2 separate regions of the Mus musculus genome follow, and region 2 is reported to be linked to region 1. Evidence: microRNA targets listed by miRTarBase, many of them from high-throughput screens and not tested one by one. Region 1 holds a microRNA gene; the other region holds the end of a gene's coding sequence.
What was found. The annotated mature microRNA mmu-miR-125a-3p reads ACAGGUGAGGUUCUUGGGAGCC and lies in region 1 at 3,416-3,437, opposite strand. An mRNA with a match to its seed (bases 2 to 7 or 8) in the 3' UTR can be bound and repressed. Matches are read on the target gene's strand: a 7mer-m8 pairs with bases 2 to 8, a 7mer-A1 pairs with bases 2 to 7 and ends in A, and an 8mer does both.

Region 1 (6,453 bases):
AGTGACCACCATTCCCTTTAAAAAGAGCACTTCCAAGTGCCCCTCCTTCCTTATGCAAACCACCATTCATTTCTACCCCTTCACATTTTAATATTCGAAGCCTTAATTCTAACTACCAGAATACCACCAGTTCATGAGCTGGAGCTCTCCAGAGACCAGCCTTCTGGTAGACATGGATATGACAGTGTATACCCCCCAACCCTATTCATACGTGACATCCTAATCCCCATTACATTATGGAAGAGAAAGCCACTGTACTTGGAGACAGCATTATTAGAGAGGTTAAAATGAGGTCCTGTCCTTTGGGGGGACCCTAGACAAGTATGAAAGTTCATCTTTTTTGTCAAGTTCATAGGATTTAGAATCATTATGGAAACCAACCTCTGGACCTGTGGAGGAGTGGGTAGGCGCACCCTGTATACGGGTGGTACCATATCATGGACTGGAGTTCCAGAGTGAATCAAATGGAGAAAGCTGAACACCATCATTCATCTCTCCCTGCTTCCTGTGTGTGCAGACACCTCACACTCCTGCCATGTCTTCTTGACCTGATGGACTATACCCTCAAACAGTGATCAAGAATAAACCTTTGTTCCATTAAGCTGATTACCAGGTATTCTGTCAGAGCATGGAAGGTAAAACCAAACTACATGTGTCTATGAAACTGTTAAGAGGGAGTTAGAAGTATTAACTAAAGCATGGTACATTATGGCTCATCTACAAGGAGAAGTACCAGAGTCAAGAAGCTGGATCTAAATGAAGCATCTGGGGCCAATGCTTAACCACAGGAGCATGATCTAGAGACAGTTGTACTCCACAGGAGCATGATCTAGAGACAGTTGTACTCCACAGGAGCATGATCTAGAGACAGTTGTACTCCACAAGAGCATGATCTAGAGACAGTTGTACTCCACAAGAGCATGATCTAGAGACAGTAGTACTCCACAGGAGCATGATCTAGAGACAGTTGTACTCCTCTTCACTATGGCCTCAGATCTGCATCAGACCCCCTCCTCTCTAACCAGAACCTTCACCTGCCCCCAAATCTGTCTCACATTAGAAAGAGCTCTCCTACTCCCAAAAGCTACCCTTGGTCTATTTTTCCAAGTTTTCAATATGGAGACATGTCCAGTCAACAACAGTATCCATATCCCAGCATTCTACATTCCTTCCATCTCTCAGGTTCCTCTGATTTTTCTTTGGACACACAGAAAATTCTGGATAGTCCTGGACACTCCTGAATAAATGGTCCCTTTCTTTGTTTGGGGGGGCCTCTGATATAAAACTTAGTGGGAACAAAATGAACCATTGTAGTTGAGGAAAAAAAAAAAAAAAAAAAAAGCCTTGAACTCCCAGATTGTGGGAATGGCCAATTTATCCTTTAATTGAATAAACAAACAAAAAGGAATTCTCACATAGCTATAATACTCCTATCTAATATACTTAAGAGACTGTGTGCCCAGCAGTTGGGAGCATCTGGTGTGATTAGTGTTAATCACATCTTTTTGAAATTCATGTCCTCAGATCCTTATGTCTGCTCCATACAGCTACATGTGTATGGTGTTCTCTAATGTCCCAGGAAGAGTCTGGCCCTGACTATGTCTATGTCTTCCCCTGAATGGCTAGCTCCACTCTTCCTATCTTCACTAGCCATGAGCAATGTGTGTGTGTGTGTGTGTGTGTGTGTGTGTGTGTGTGTGTGTGTTTTGTTTGAAGGGATCATATCTTCTATAACACCTATCTCAAAAAAGAACCATTCCTTCCCAATGAGCTCCGACCTCTCTGGGAGATAAAGAGAATGTCTCACCCTAGGAGATGAGAATGTCCCACCTTCAGAGATGACAAGAATGACTCAATCTGAGAGCCTAAGAAATTTACTATCTTACAGGTGAGTAGTTGGAACCCAGGTTGAGAGGCAGGAACACATCCAGGCTTCAGAGTCCTGACAGTGAGAATCCCAGATAGGTCACATGTACTTGACCCCACAAAAGCTTCAGACTCCCTGTGACTTATTTACTTCCCTCAGTTCCTTGCCATCTTTGACTCCCCTCATCTCTGGAGTTTCCTCAACAAATAACCTAACTCAGACAGGTTCCCAGGGTCACTTCCTCAAGATGACTTTCCCCACCACTTATGCCCATAAAACACTCACCCCGTCGTCTAGCAGCCTTCTCCTGAAGAGAAACTGTCATCTGTGTAAATTCATCATGCAGGTAGCTCCTCTCATCATAGTCTGAAGGTAGATGAGACACCATGGCACAAACCTGGTTCCATGGTGTTCTCTATGTCCCACTCATGGCTGAATATCTCCAAGCCCTGTGATCATCCCAGATTCTATAGCCCCAGTCTATTGTTCTATGTGCCCCACCTAGAGCTCTCTCTCTCTCTCTCTCTCTCTCTCTCTGTGTGTGTGTGTGTGTGTGTGTGTGTGTGTGTGTGTGTTTCCCTAACCCTAACCTAAACCTTCAATCTTGGTATCTCTCCATCCATCTAATCTCTCTCTCTCTAGGCCTGTTACCTGGTACCCTGGATCTGCTTCCTCATCTACATCTTTACTCCAACCCCATTGGTCTCTGTCCCACCTATCTCTAGATCACTGTCTCTCTATTCTTCCTGAAACTACTCTCTGTATCTATACCTATGTCCCTCACTTTGGGACTCTGTTCCTGTCTTATCTCTATGTACCTTACTCTCTGTGTGTCTCTCATCTCTCTGGATTGATTCCTAGCTCTCTGTCCCTCTCTCCAGGTCTCTAATCTCCCCACTCATCTGTGTTCCCAATCCATATCCTCTCTCTGAGCAATGCTTCTACTTTTCCATCTCTTTCCCTTACTGTCTTTAGACTCTCTCTGAGGCACTGTTTTGTCTGTCTCCACCCCACTCTGGACCTGTTTCCTTCCATTGTTTCCACCTGTCTCTCTTCTCTGTGTCTATGTCATGATCCTGTACTTGGCTTTTCTTCTTGGAGTAGCTCAAGGAATCTCCTTCCCCTCCCCAGGGCCCTGGTTCAGGAAGGAGGGGCTCCTCACTGATTTTCATGTCTTTGAGATCTTCAAAAGCCCCTTCAAGCTCATTTCTGCACAGGTTTATCTTGGTTTCCTCTCTGCCCACAAACAGCTGGCAGACACGGAGGCGTTCCTCATAGGTAGTGAAGCAGAAGAGACAGGCCCACGTGGATGCCCTGAAGATCAGCAGGAACAACAGGACAATGCTCCCTACTAAGGAAATAAGACCCATAACAGAGGGTCTCCGGGTCTGAGGAGAAGATAGTGACCTTTGTGAGGTCATTGTGGGGGAGGGGGAGCCTGTGATCAGAGATTGAGTTTCAAATGATGGTCAAGCATCAGGCTCCAGCTAGAGGAAGGTTGCCAGGGGTCACCTGAAATCCCTAAATTTGTGGCTGGGCCAGGCGCCAGGCTCCCAAGAACCTCACCTGTGACCCTGGACGTCCTCACAGGTTAAAGGGTCTCAGGGACCCAGAGGCCGGCAGTGTAGCTATGGTGGACCAGAAAAACCCTTTTCCCCAGAGGTGGGAACGGGGAAGCGAGACAGAAACAGATACCCTAAGCCCCAGAAGATAGAAAGGAACCAGGAGATGCCTCAAAAAGCTCAGAAACCCAGTGTCACAGAGATACATTCACAGCACTAGAGAAACAGAAGCTTCTAGAACCCTAGAGACATTGGCATAAGAGACAGAGACAGAAAATTCGAAAATCTCAAGATGGCATAGAGACTGCAAAGAAAAGGGATAGGATAGAATGTGAACAGAGAAGACACCCCAGCTCCTATCAAGAACTCTTGGGCAATGGTGTGGACCTGGGGTCCCCGCCGGCCCCTTCCAGTGCAGGGCGCAGCCTGGGGAAAGCTAGGAGGCCGTATAGTGATCTCCTCGGGTGTCTTCCTCAACTATACAACCTCCTACCTCAGCCCGGGGGGCGCGGCAGGTGGGCAGATTGACAGATGGATTGATGGGAGACCAGAAGTAGGGAGGGTGGGGAGGGCCGGGGAGGTCCCAGCCGCGATGGTGAGCCCCCGACACGGACCCACAGACACGAGCTTGTGTGCGGCGAAGGCCCCGCAAGGTCGGTTCTACGGGTGGGTGCCAGGACCCAGGAGTCCGGGCCCCCGGCCCCCTCCTCCCCAAGGAACCCAGGAATTCAGTCCCAGCCCCAAAATCTAAGCCCCAGCCCCCCTCTTTCAAGGCCAGAGATCCAGACCTCAGCCCTCCTCCCTCAGTCCCAAAGCTTCCTCCCTTAGACTAAGGGGTAGTGGTCACAGCCCTCCCTCCCACAGATCCAGGGAAGCAGACCCTGCCGCCTTGCACTCAATTCTCCTCAGTCCAGACCCAGGGACTCAGTCCCTAACCCTCACAGTTCTCCTCCACCCCATAGCCCTCCCCGGCAGACTCAGGGTCCAACCAGGCACATCCCTTAGAGAAGACAATCTGGTTAGAGACCTGACTTCTGCACTGCAGAAAGGATGTATCCCCGTTTGTCTTGGCAATCTGAGCCCCTTCTGTAACCCCTAAAGGTTTCATATCCCAGGCCTGAGTTAAAGGCCTTCTGAGTATCAGAAGTCCTCATGGGTCTCATGGAATAATCCTATCTTTTCCAAAACCATTCTCAACCTTTGGGGTGATAGCTATGGTCAAGGAATAATGACACCAACCAGGACCCTGTCTCCTCAACACCTCCCAACTCAGAAATGAGGTCGCTCCCAGCACACAGGAGCCCCCAGAGGGGAAGCCACTAGACCAAAGTCAGTTGTCGGCAGGTGGGAGGAGCCCTAGGACCTGCACCCACCCTGAGGCTCTGAGCACAGAACTGGTCTTCTGGGGCTCCCAGGTTCCATGTCCGTCTTCTTGTTTCTTTCTCTCCACCCATTTTTTCTTACCTTGCTCTTTTCTTATTCTCCCTTTCTTTCTCTGTTTGTATCATCCCTGATGAGGTTTTCCTCTTCGCCCATATCTGAATGCCTGCTCCTCCCGCTGTCTCTGTTCTAGCTGACCCTCTTTACATTCACCTCTCTTCCTCACCTCCTATCTTCTATATCTACTTCTCAAGTCTCTTCCTCTTTTTCACAATCTTCTTTCATTTCCTTCCCTGGCTTTGTCTCTCTTTTTCTCTGGATTCCTATCTCCCTCTCTTTTTCTCCTCCCTGCTTTTTTATTTAGTCTAGCTTCTACCCTCCTCCCATCTTCCAGTCTCCTCCCGGGGTCTCTCCCTTTCTCTCTCTCTTTTCTCCTTCCCTCTTCTCCATCCCCTCCCCCCATTCTTCTCCCTTTCTCCTTCCCTCTCTCTCTTCTCTCTCTCCCTCCCCCTTGCTGCTCGGAGCCAGGTCTGGAAATGGGGGTGGAGTGGGGATGGAGTGGGGGTGGGTTGAGAAGGGGCCCTGGGCCGGGGTAGCGACCTGCTGAGGAGGGGGAGGAGAGGCGGGAAGAGGGCGGAGAAGCAAAAGAGGAGGCGGGGGACCTGAGACCAGTCTTCGGCCTGAGCTCAAGTCCTCCTTTCCCTCCTTCCCAACCTCCCAGACCCTCAGGCGGGGGCGAGAGTCAGGCCAAGGTGGGGAGGAAGGGGAAGGGAGGAGCCCCCCCACCCCCCCCCAACCAACCTGGCTCAGAGCCCAGGCCTGGGTTCCCAGCATGCCCCGGGGCTGCCTGGGGCCTGAGGGGGGGGGGGCGGTGAGGGAAAGCAGGGAAGGGAGAATCTTTAAGATTCTCCAGCCCTGAACATCTCTCCACACACCCTGCAAGTTTCTCTTCAGAGGGCCAACTGAGGCTCACAGAGAAGGTTCCGAACTGGTTCAAGGTCACTGCCCCAGGCTTGGGTGCATCTCCCTTGGGTTCACAGGCTTGCTTTGAGGAAGGGGTAGGCGCTCGACTTCTCCCTGGGCATGGGTCCCCTCCCCCTCTTTGCAGACCCTAGGGAGCCCCCAAGGGTCAGAGAGCAGACCCAAACAGTCTGGCACCATAGCAACCAACTGGTCCCGCCCCCTTAACCCCTGGAGGGCTGGACTCCAGCTGGGGCTAAAAGGGGTGGGGGAAACCTGGTTCTCAGGAAGGAGCCCCCCACCTATGCCCCAGTCCAGGCAGAGAAGAAGAAAAATGTCTGGGGCCCTGACTCTTGGGTTCTGAAGGAGGAGGGGATTGGGGTTGGCCTATGCTTATGTGCAGGAGGTGATGGCTGGAGAGTGGACTCCTTAGTCAGAGGCAAGAAGGAAATGGGTGACCCAGACACCTGGGTCCTGGGCAGACCGCAACCAGGGCTTTGGCTTGTGGAATCTGGGCAACGGCTTGGAAGATAGACCCTGAGGGAAGAGGAAGCTGAGACCCGGAATCCCCGGTCCTCAGAGCAACCTGGACGCTGGGCCTCTCTACTACCAGACAGCCCCTGCCCCAGGCGCTGACCCGGGTCTGTCTGGCAGCCCAGACAACCTCCCCCTCCTGGCACCCTC
Region 2 (6,453 bases), not on the chromosome of region 1:
ACAAAGCACTACAGGTGAGTAATCAGGTTTGGGAGTACAGTTGAAAGCTTTTTAAAGTTGGCAACCCTGGAAGGTTGGAAATGGGGTGTTGGGGGCCTGTGGTTTGGTCTCAGCATCAGACATTTAAGGGCTGGCAGCCCTGTAGGGGAGTGGGTGGGGCAGCCACTCTTTTATCCCATTACTCTCTCCATCCTTACTGAAGGAAATGTTACTACCTGTTAAAGGATGTATAATGATCCTGGTGAAAAATGATACTATAATGCTACTTTAGTAGCAACATGTCCTTCTAGAAAAGGCTTCTGATGAATACAATGCTGCTTTAACAATGTGGTGCCTGAGAGAATCCTATGACCTGTGAGTCAGTGATGGCTTTCTACTTCTAATCACCCCACCCCCACCCCCACACACAGGGTTTATCTGTGTGGTCCTGGCTATCTTGGAACTTTTTGTAGAACAGGCTGGCCTTGAACTTACACAGATCTGTCTGCCTCTGTCTCCCAAAGGTGTGCACCACCATGCCCAACTCCATTTAACTTTTTAATCAAAATGCTCTATGGAGCAGTGGTGCACTAGAGGCAGGTGGATCTCTGTGAATTTGAAGCTAACCTGGTCTGGTCTACAGAGCAAATTCCAGGCTACACAGAGAAACCCTGTTTTGAAAAACAGAAGAACAAAAAAAAGTCATCCAAAAAGTCCTGGAACTTAGGTTATGTTGTTGCTGTAATACCAGTACTCCGAACTAGGTAAAAAATAGTCCTAGAGAGACCAGAAGAAGGGGTTAATTTGGAATGGGGTTACAGAAGATTATGGCCATGTAGATGCTGGGAATTGAACTTGGGTCCTCTGGAAGAACAGAAACACTCTTAATGGATGAGCCTCTGCCCTAGACCCCTCCATTCTAAAAAGATTCCAAACAAGAAGTGTTAGCTCCCCTTTGCCTTTAACCTGCTATTATGAAAGCCGAGTTGCTCCCAATTCTTATAGCTGTTTCCTCTGGCATCTAGCTCTGTACCCAAAGCAACATGTGATTTTTACCACGTTCCCCTTTTGTAGTGCAGGGAACGGAACTGAACAGGCCTGGCCCATGCTAGATAAACACTGTACTGAGCCACACTGTGACATGTCTTTTCACTGTGCATGGATGTGGTGGGACCTGTTTGCTCACTCCAACTCATCTCTTCCTTACATGCCCTCAATAAACTCTTGCCTAGACAGGGTCTCACTGTAACTCTGGCTGATCCTCCTGCCTCTTGAGCGCTGGGATTAAAGATATGCCATCACACACCTGGCCTGAACTTTTCTCTATTCTTACTTTATTAATTATATGTGAGTACACTATAGCTGTCCTGAACTTTTCTCTATTTTATTTATTTATTATATGTGAGCACACTGTTATTAATTAATTATATGTGAGTACACTGTAGCTGTCTTCAAACACACCAGAAGAGAGCATCAGATTTCAATACGGATGGTTGTGAGCTACCATGTGGTTGCTGGGATTTGAACTTGACCTTCAGAAGTCGTCAGTGCTCTTAGAGTGGCTGAGCCGTCTCTCCTGCCCCTATTATTTTTTGAGGCAGGGTTTCCCTGCAGAGCCCTGTACCCAGAGACCAAGAAGTGCCACAGCCTTCCAGGTGCACCCACCCTCATCATTTCTCCAGAAGCCAACTGCCTGTCAGCTATTTTATTTCCCGGTGTTCTACTCCGGACCAGAATGTTACCATTCGGTGACAACCCAGCACATTATCAACTGTTCCCTGTAGAAGCTGGGTTGTTCATTATTTTGTCTTCAACTCAGGCCCCCTGCCCACATCTGGACACGCTTCTGTCCAGGCATGTCCCGAGTTTCTGACGTAACTCTGAGAGCTACTGTCTGAGCCTTGTGCCTTCTTTCCTTCATTTTGAACATAAGTGGTGAAAATGAGTCACAGGAATTGTGCACAGGAGAATGCCTTTCTATTTTCATACTTCTGAAGTAAGAGCAGGTGTTATTGATTTGAACATTAACATTCATCTTTCCATATTAGGGACTGGTCTGGTTAAAAGACAAAGATGCAACCCACTGTAAGCTTTGTGAGAAGGAATTTTCACTCTCCAAAAGAAAGGTAGGTAAGAGAAGTGAAAATGATTCCAAACGTTGTGGCAACAAAAATGGCTTCTAATTTGGTTTTATTTTCCCCGGATTTTTCCATTTAATAGCACCACTGTAGAAACTGCGGAGAAATTTTCTGTAATGCCTGCTCTGACAACGAGCTGCCTTTGCCTTCTTCACCAAAGCCAGTGCGAGTCTGTGATTCCTGCCATGCAATGCTCATTCAGAGATGCTCCTCTAACATGCCATGACTTGGAACTCCATTCTCCTGCACAGCACCACCTGCAGCGAGGGAGGGCTGTGTGCCCAGTCAGTACTGTACCTTGCCTCCAGCTCACAAACAGGTTTCTAAGTTATATGGGTTAGTATTCCGTCCCTGTACTTAATCAGATTTTAAGATAGCATGTTTTAGCACTACTTCAACTATCAAGTAACCTTTAACAAAAGGTCAGATAGCAGAGCTAATGCACATTTGCCTTACCTTATAGAGGCCTTTTTGAGAACAAGGCCACAGCTTATTTGCTTCTGAACTGATGAGTAGGCACTTGAAGGTGCCTGTCTCTTAATGCACTTTAGAAAGCGTCACAATTCTCAGAGAAAAACTGGAAATGCATTCACTTTATGTTATATGCCGATTTAACGGTTTTTAAAATGGTGGCCCACGCCTTCAATCCCAGCACTTAGATGCAGAGGCAGGTGGATGGATCTGAGTTCAGTAAGGCCACCCTGGTAGAAAGAGGAAGTTCCAGTCAGGACAGCCAGACTGTCCAGGAAGACAGACTGAATCAAAGTTGTTTATTTTTTACCATAAGCTGTCTTGCCTAAGCTCTGAAGTGCTGGGATATAGGTGTGTGCTTCCATCCCAGGTCTGTGTAGTCTTCATTGTCTGGTAAGATGCTAATTTAGTTGTATTTATTTGCTTGTTCTTCTCCCTTCTCTACAATGGAAAAGACCAATGATTTAATCCCTTCCTTTCCTTTTTACTTGCCCACATCTTTCATATAGTGGACTAAAGGACCAGTGGTCTGGCCTCTAGCTTTTCCTTCACTTATAATCATCATCCTTATCACAAATACTAATTTTTATAAAGGGTCAGATTCCAAAGGAGAAAACATTCCTACCCAGGGAACAAGGGGACCGAATGAGACCACAGGCCTTTAAAGATTGATTCTAAGCATTAAAATTAAGAGGACTGCTATGAAAGAATTAAGTTTCTCCACCCTCAGTTCTCTTAAGAATAACTTCTAGGAAGCATTACACTGGCATATTTACGCTTGCCCACAGTAGAATTTCACCCTCTATGTGTATTAGGTACTTTAGATAGTAGCTCCTTATTTTTTCAAGCGGGGGTGTGTGTGGGAGACACGGAGCATTAAGTTACTTAAATCATGACCATTTAGGATAGGATCTTTAATATATTAATTTCCAGCCTTATACTTTTAAGTCTATAAAGCCTTTCAAAACTCTAGTGATTTTACACTCCCAAGAACACTGCTCAGTGACTGGGTATTTTTCTGATCCCCTTTTCTGCAGGATCTTTTCATTTGCTACATTTCAGTAAGTTTTTGTAAATTGCCAAAATTACAAAACCAGTATTTACCAGCTTCTGTGGTCAACTTAAATTCACTCCGACAGATTTCTAGATGTTTCTTTTGGAGACAGGGAAACCCCAAGTTGGCCTCCAACCTGGTGTGCAGCAGGGGAAGACCTTGAACTGCCTGACTTCCACATCTCCCAGCTGCTGAGATTACAGCTGTTGAGTGTTTGTATGTGGTGCTGGGGATGGAGCCCCTGATACTTTGTACACATTGGCCAGGTACTCTACTAACTCAGTTACTCTCCCAACCCCAGATGTCATTATATATATATATATATATGTATGTATGTATGTGTGTGTGTGTATATATATATATATATATATATATATATATATATATATATATATATATATATATATATATATAGTGAAAACCTGCTGGCACACACACAAAAAAGAGACAATTTAACTGCTTTGTACTGATGGGGATTACTAGCATCTTTCTTTCTTTCTTTCTTTTTTTTTTTTTGAGTGTAAATGAAAAACTTCAAATACTTTATTATGTGCTTTTTATTACCACTCAAAATTTGTGTCATAAACATGGGCCTTTTCTGGAGCAGCACTAACGAGTTCCCCTGCTGTGTGTGAGATAAGAATAGAGCTGAGTGGTAGAATGGTTGCTTATCGTGGCTATTAAGGGCCTGGATTCTCAATTCACAGCACTACCACCAAAAAACATAAAACCACCCAACTTTAAATTTAGGATATCCTATTTATTACATAACATTCACAATTCTTATTTTGCAGAAAACTCGTGTCATTCCCTTACTTACCTAGCCAGTACTACCACAAAGATGTGATCATGGTGCCAAGGAATTGCAAATGTAATTCTGATCTGTAATGTTTTTAAAATAAATGTGAATTTTATAAATCGAAGATCTAAGAAATTAACACTTACTTATATTGCTTTAAAAGACTTGTTTGTATCTGCTTATGTGTGTGTGAATGTGTGCCATGTGTGTGCAGGTGACCAACGAGGCCAGGAAAAGGCATTGGACTTAAGCGAGGCTGATCACCTGATGTGGGTGCTGGGAACCAAACGGCCCTCTGAAAGAGCAGCGAGTACTCTTTATTTATTTATGTATATGAGTACACTGTAGCTGACTTCAGACACACCAGAAGAGGGCAACAGATCCTGTTACAGAGGGCTGAGCCTCCGTGTGGTTGCTGGGAATTGAACGCAGGACCTGGAAGAGCAGCCAGTGCTTTAACCGCCGAGCATCTCTCCAGCCCGCAGCACGTACTCTTAACCACTCTACCTACTGAAGTACTCTTTAGCCACCTGCTTTGAGATGTAAGAAGCTTGAAGTGCTTGTGACTTCTGTGCGAGGTGTGCAGGCACCAAGTTAAACCCATTAAGACAGAAACTCACTGTTTCAGGCCGACAGGCTCCAAGTGACATGCTGTGGCAACTCTCTCTTCTTAGCATGGGGGAAAAAAAAATCACGCCTTTGTAGTTACTTGATCAGAAACCTCAATTTGGCATCCAACAGTATATTGCCTTTGCTTCCCAAATGCTGGGATTAAAGGCATGGTGATACTTGATACCAATAACTAACACAACATATTCTAGGACAGACAACATTCCCATGTTGACATTTATTACATTAATAACATATCTAGCAAAAAACAAGTAACTCAATAACTGAGATCACACTGACAGGTTCATTTTGATCCATTAGCCAATTTGGGGAAAAGTCTTATTGAGCAAAGTAATAAAAAGATTAGTAGAAAGCACGTTTTCCTTCTACACAGGGCACTTAACTACTCAAAGCCAGTTTCAGACGCAAAACCAGCTACAGCATTGTTTTATAGTCTCCTAAATGTAGTCATTTATACCATTATAAAGACCCTGTTTTCTTGGGTGAGAAACTGAAAATACAAGTAAGCATATACCCATTATAGTAAATGCCCGTGTATTTACAGAGTTTTTCTGTCATTATTAAGAATTTCAAACTACTCCAACAAACTCAAGTTTTGGGAACCATTTTTGGTATCTTAGTCAAGTGCTATGAGGGTTTTATACCCCTACCCCCATTCATAATACAATTTGTGAATATTTAGAATCCAGATACGTCTTGAATTATTCAGAGCTATGCTTGATAAAAGAGACCGAAAAGAATACAGAATTAGCTTATGTTCCTGAAACCACCTGAACGTATCTTTAGGCTTTTTATTTACAGTATGTCCAGGGGTGAAAGGTAGTGCTACCCTAGATGCCTACTTAAGACTCGCTGTCTTGCCCTCTATCACTGCACTATGCTAACAGTAAGATACATTATCCCAAATCTTATGAAGGCAGCACATCTTTAGGAGTACCTATATATAAAAAGTAGCAACATCAGTGGTTTGAATATAAAAATTTATTTAAGTCAAAGTATGCAACAAATGAAACAACCTACAGAAAACAGATTTTCCCATCGCAGTCTGTTGCTTTACCAAATAATATAACACATTCCTTCAGTCGTTATAAAGTTCTTGAAATACAAAAGAAATGAAATCTGTAAGAAAGTCTAGTAGAGCAGGTGTGTTAGGACGTGTACGTTGGGGTGGTGTTGTCAGTACATCCCACGCCATCCACCTCCACTCATTCCACCTTGCCCATAGTAACCTCCACTGCCTCCACCACCACGACCTTAAGAAGACAGTAAGAACCGTCCATCAGGAGACATCCATGTCTTTAAATGAAGGACACTACCACAATACAGAAACAACTACTTACCATAGCCTCCCAAGCCATCAGGAGCACCGTAGCCTCCGCTGT

Region 2: miRTarBase lists Rufy2 as a target of mmu-miR-125a-3p. Seed matches in the 3' UTR shown: 8mer at 4,702-4,709 and 7mer-A1 at 5,839-5,845.

Annotation. Positions count from the first base shown.
Region 1 is chr17:17,827,839-17,834,291 of GRCm38, reverse strand. Mir125a (microRNA 125a) reads right to left here and starts at 3,480; the gene lies at 3,413-3,480. It overlaps Spaca6 (sperm acrosome associated 6), which reads right to left and starts at 3,317. Exons shown (of 9, transcript NM_001162909.1): 1 at 3,030-3,317; 2 at 2,153-2,233. The coding sequence starts at 3,288. It overlaps Mir99b (microRNA 99b), which reads right to left and starts at 4,104; the gene lies at 4,035-4,104. It overlaps Mirlet7e (microRNA let7e), which reads right to left and starts at 3,940; the gene lies at 3,848-3,940. It also overlaps a transcript of Has1 not described here.
Region 2 is chr10:63,009,391-63,015,843 of GRCm38, forward strand. It overlaps Rufy2 (RUN and FYVE domain-containing 2), which reads left to right. Exons shown (of 18, transcript NM_027425.4): 16 at 1-14; 17 at 2,028-2,105; 18 at 2,200-6,453. The coding sequence ends at 2,343. Hnrnph3 (heterogeneous nuclear ribonucleoprotein H3) reads right to left here. Exons shown (of 10, transcript NM_001079824.1): 9 at 6,412-6,453; 10 at 5,274-6,324. The coding sequence ends at 6,248. Among named protein-coding and RNA genes, the nearest start is that of Hnrnph3, 11 kb to the right of the region's middle.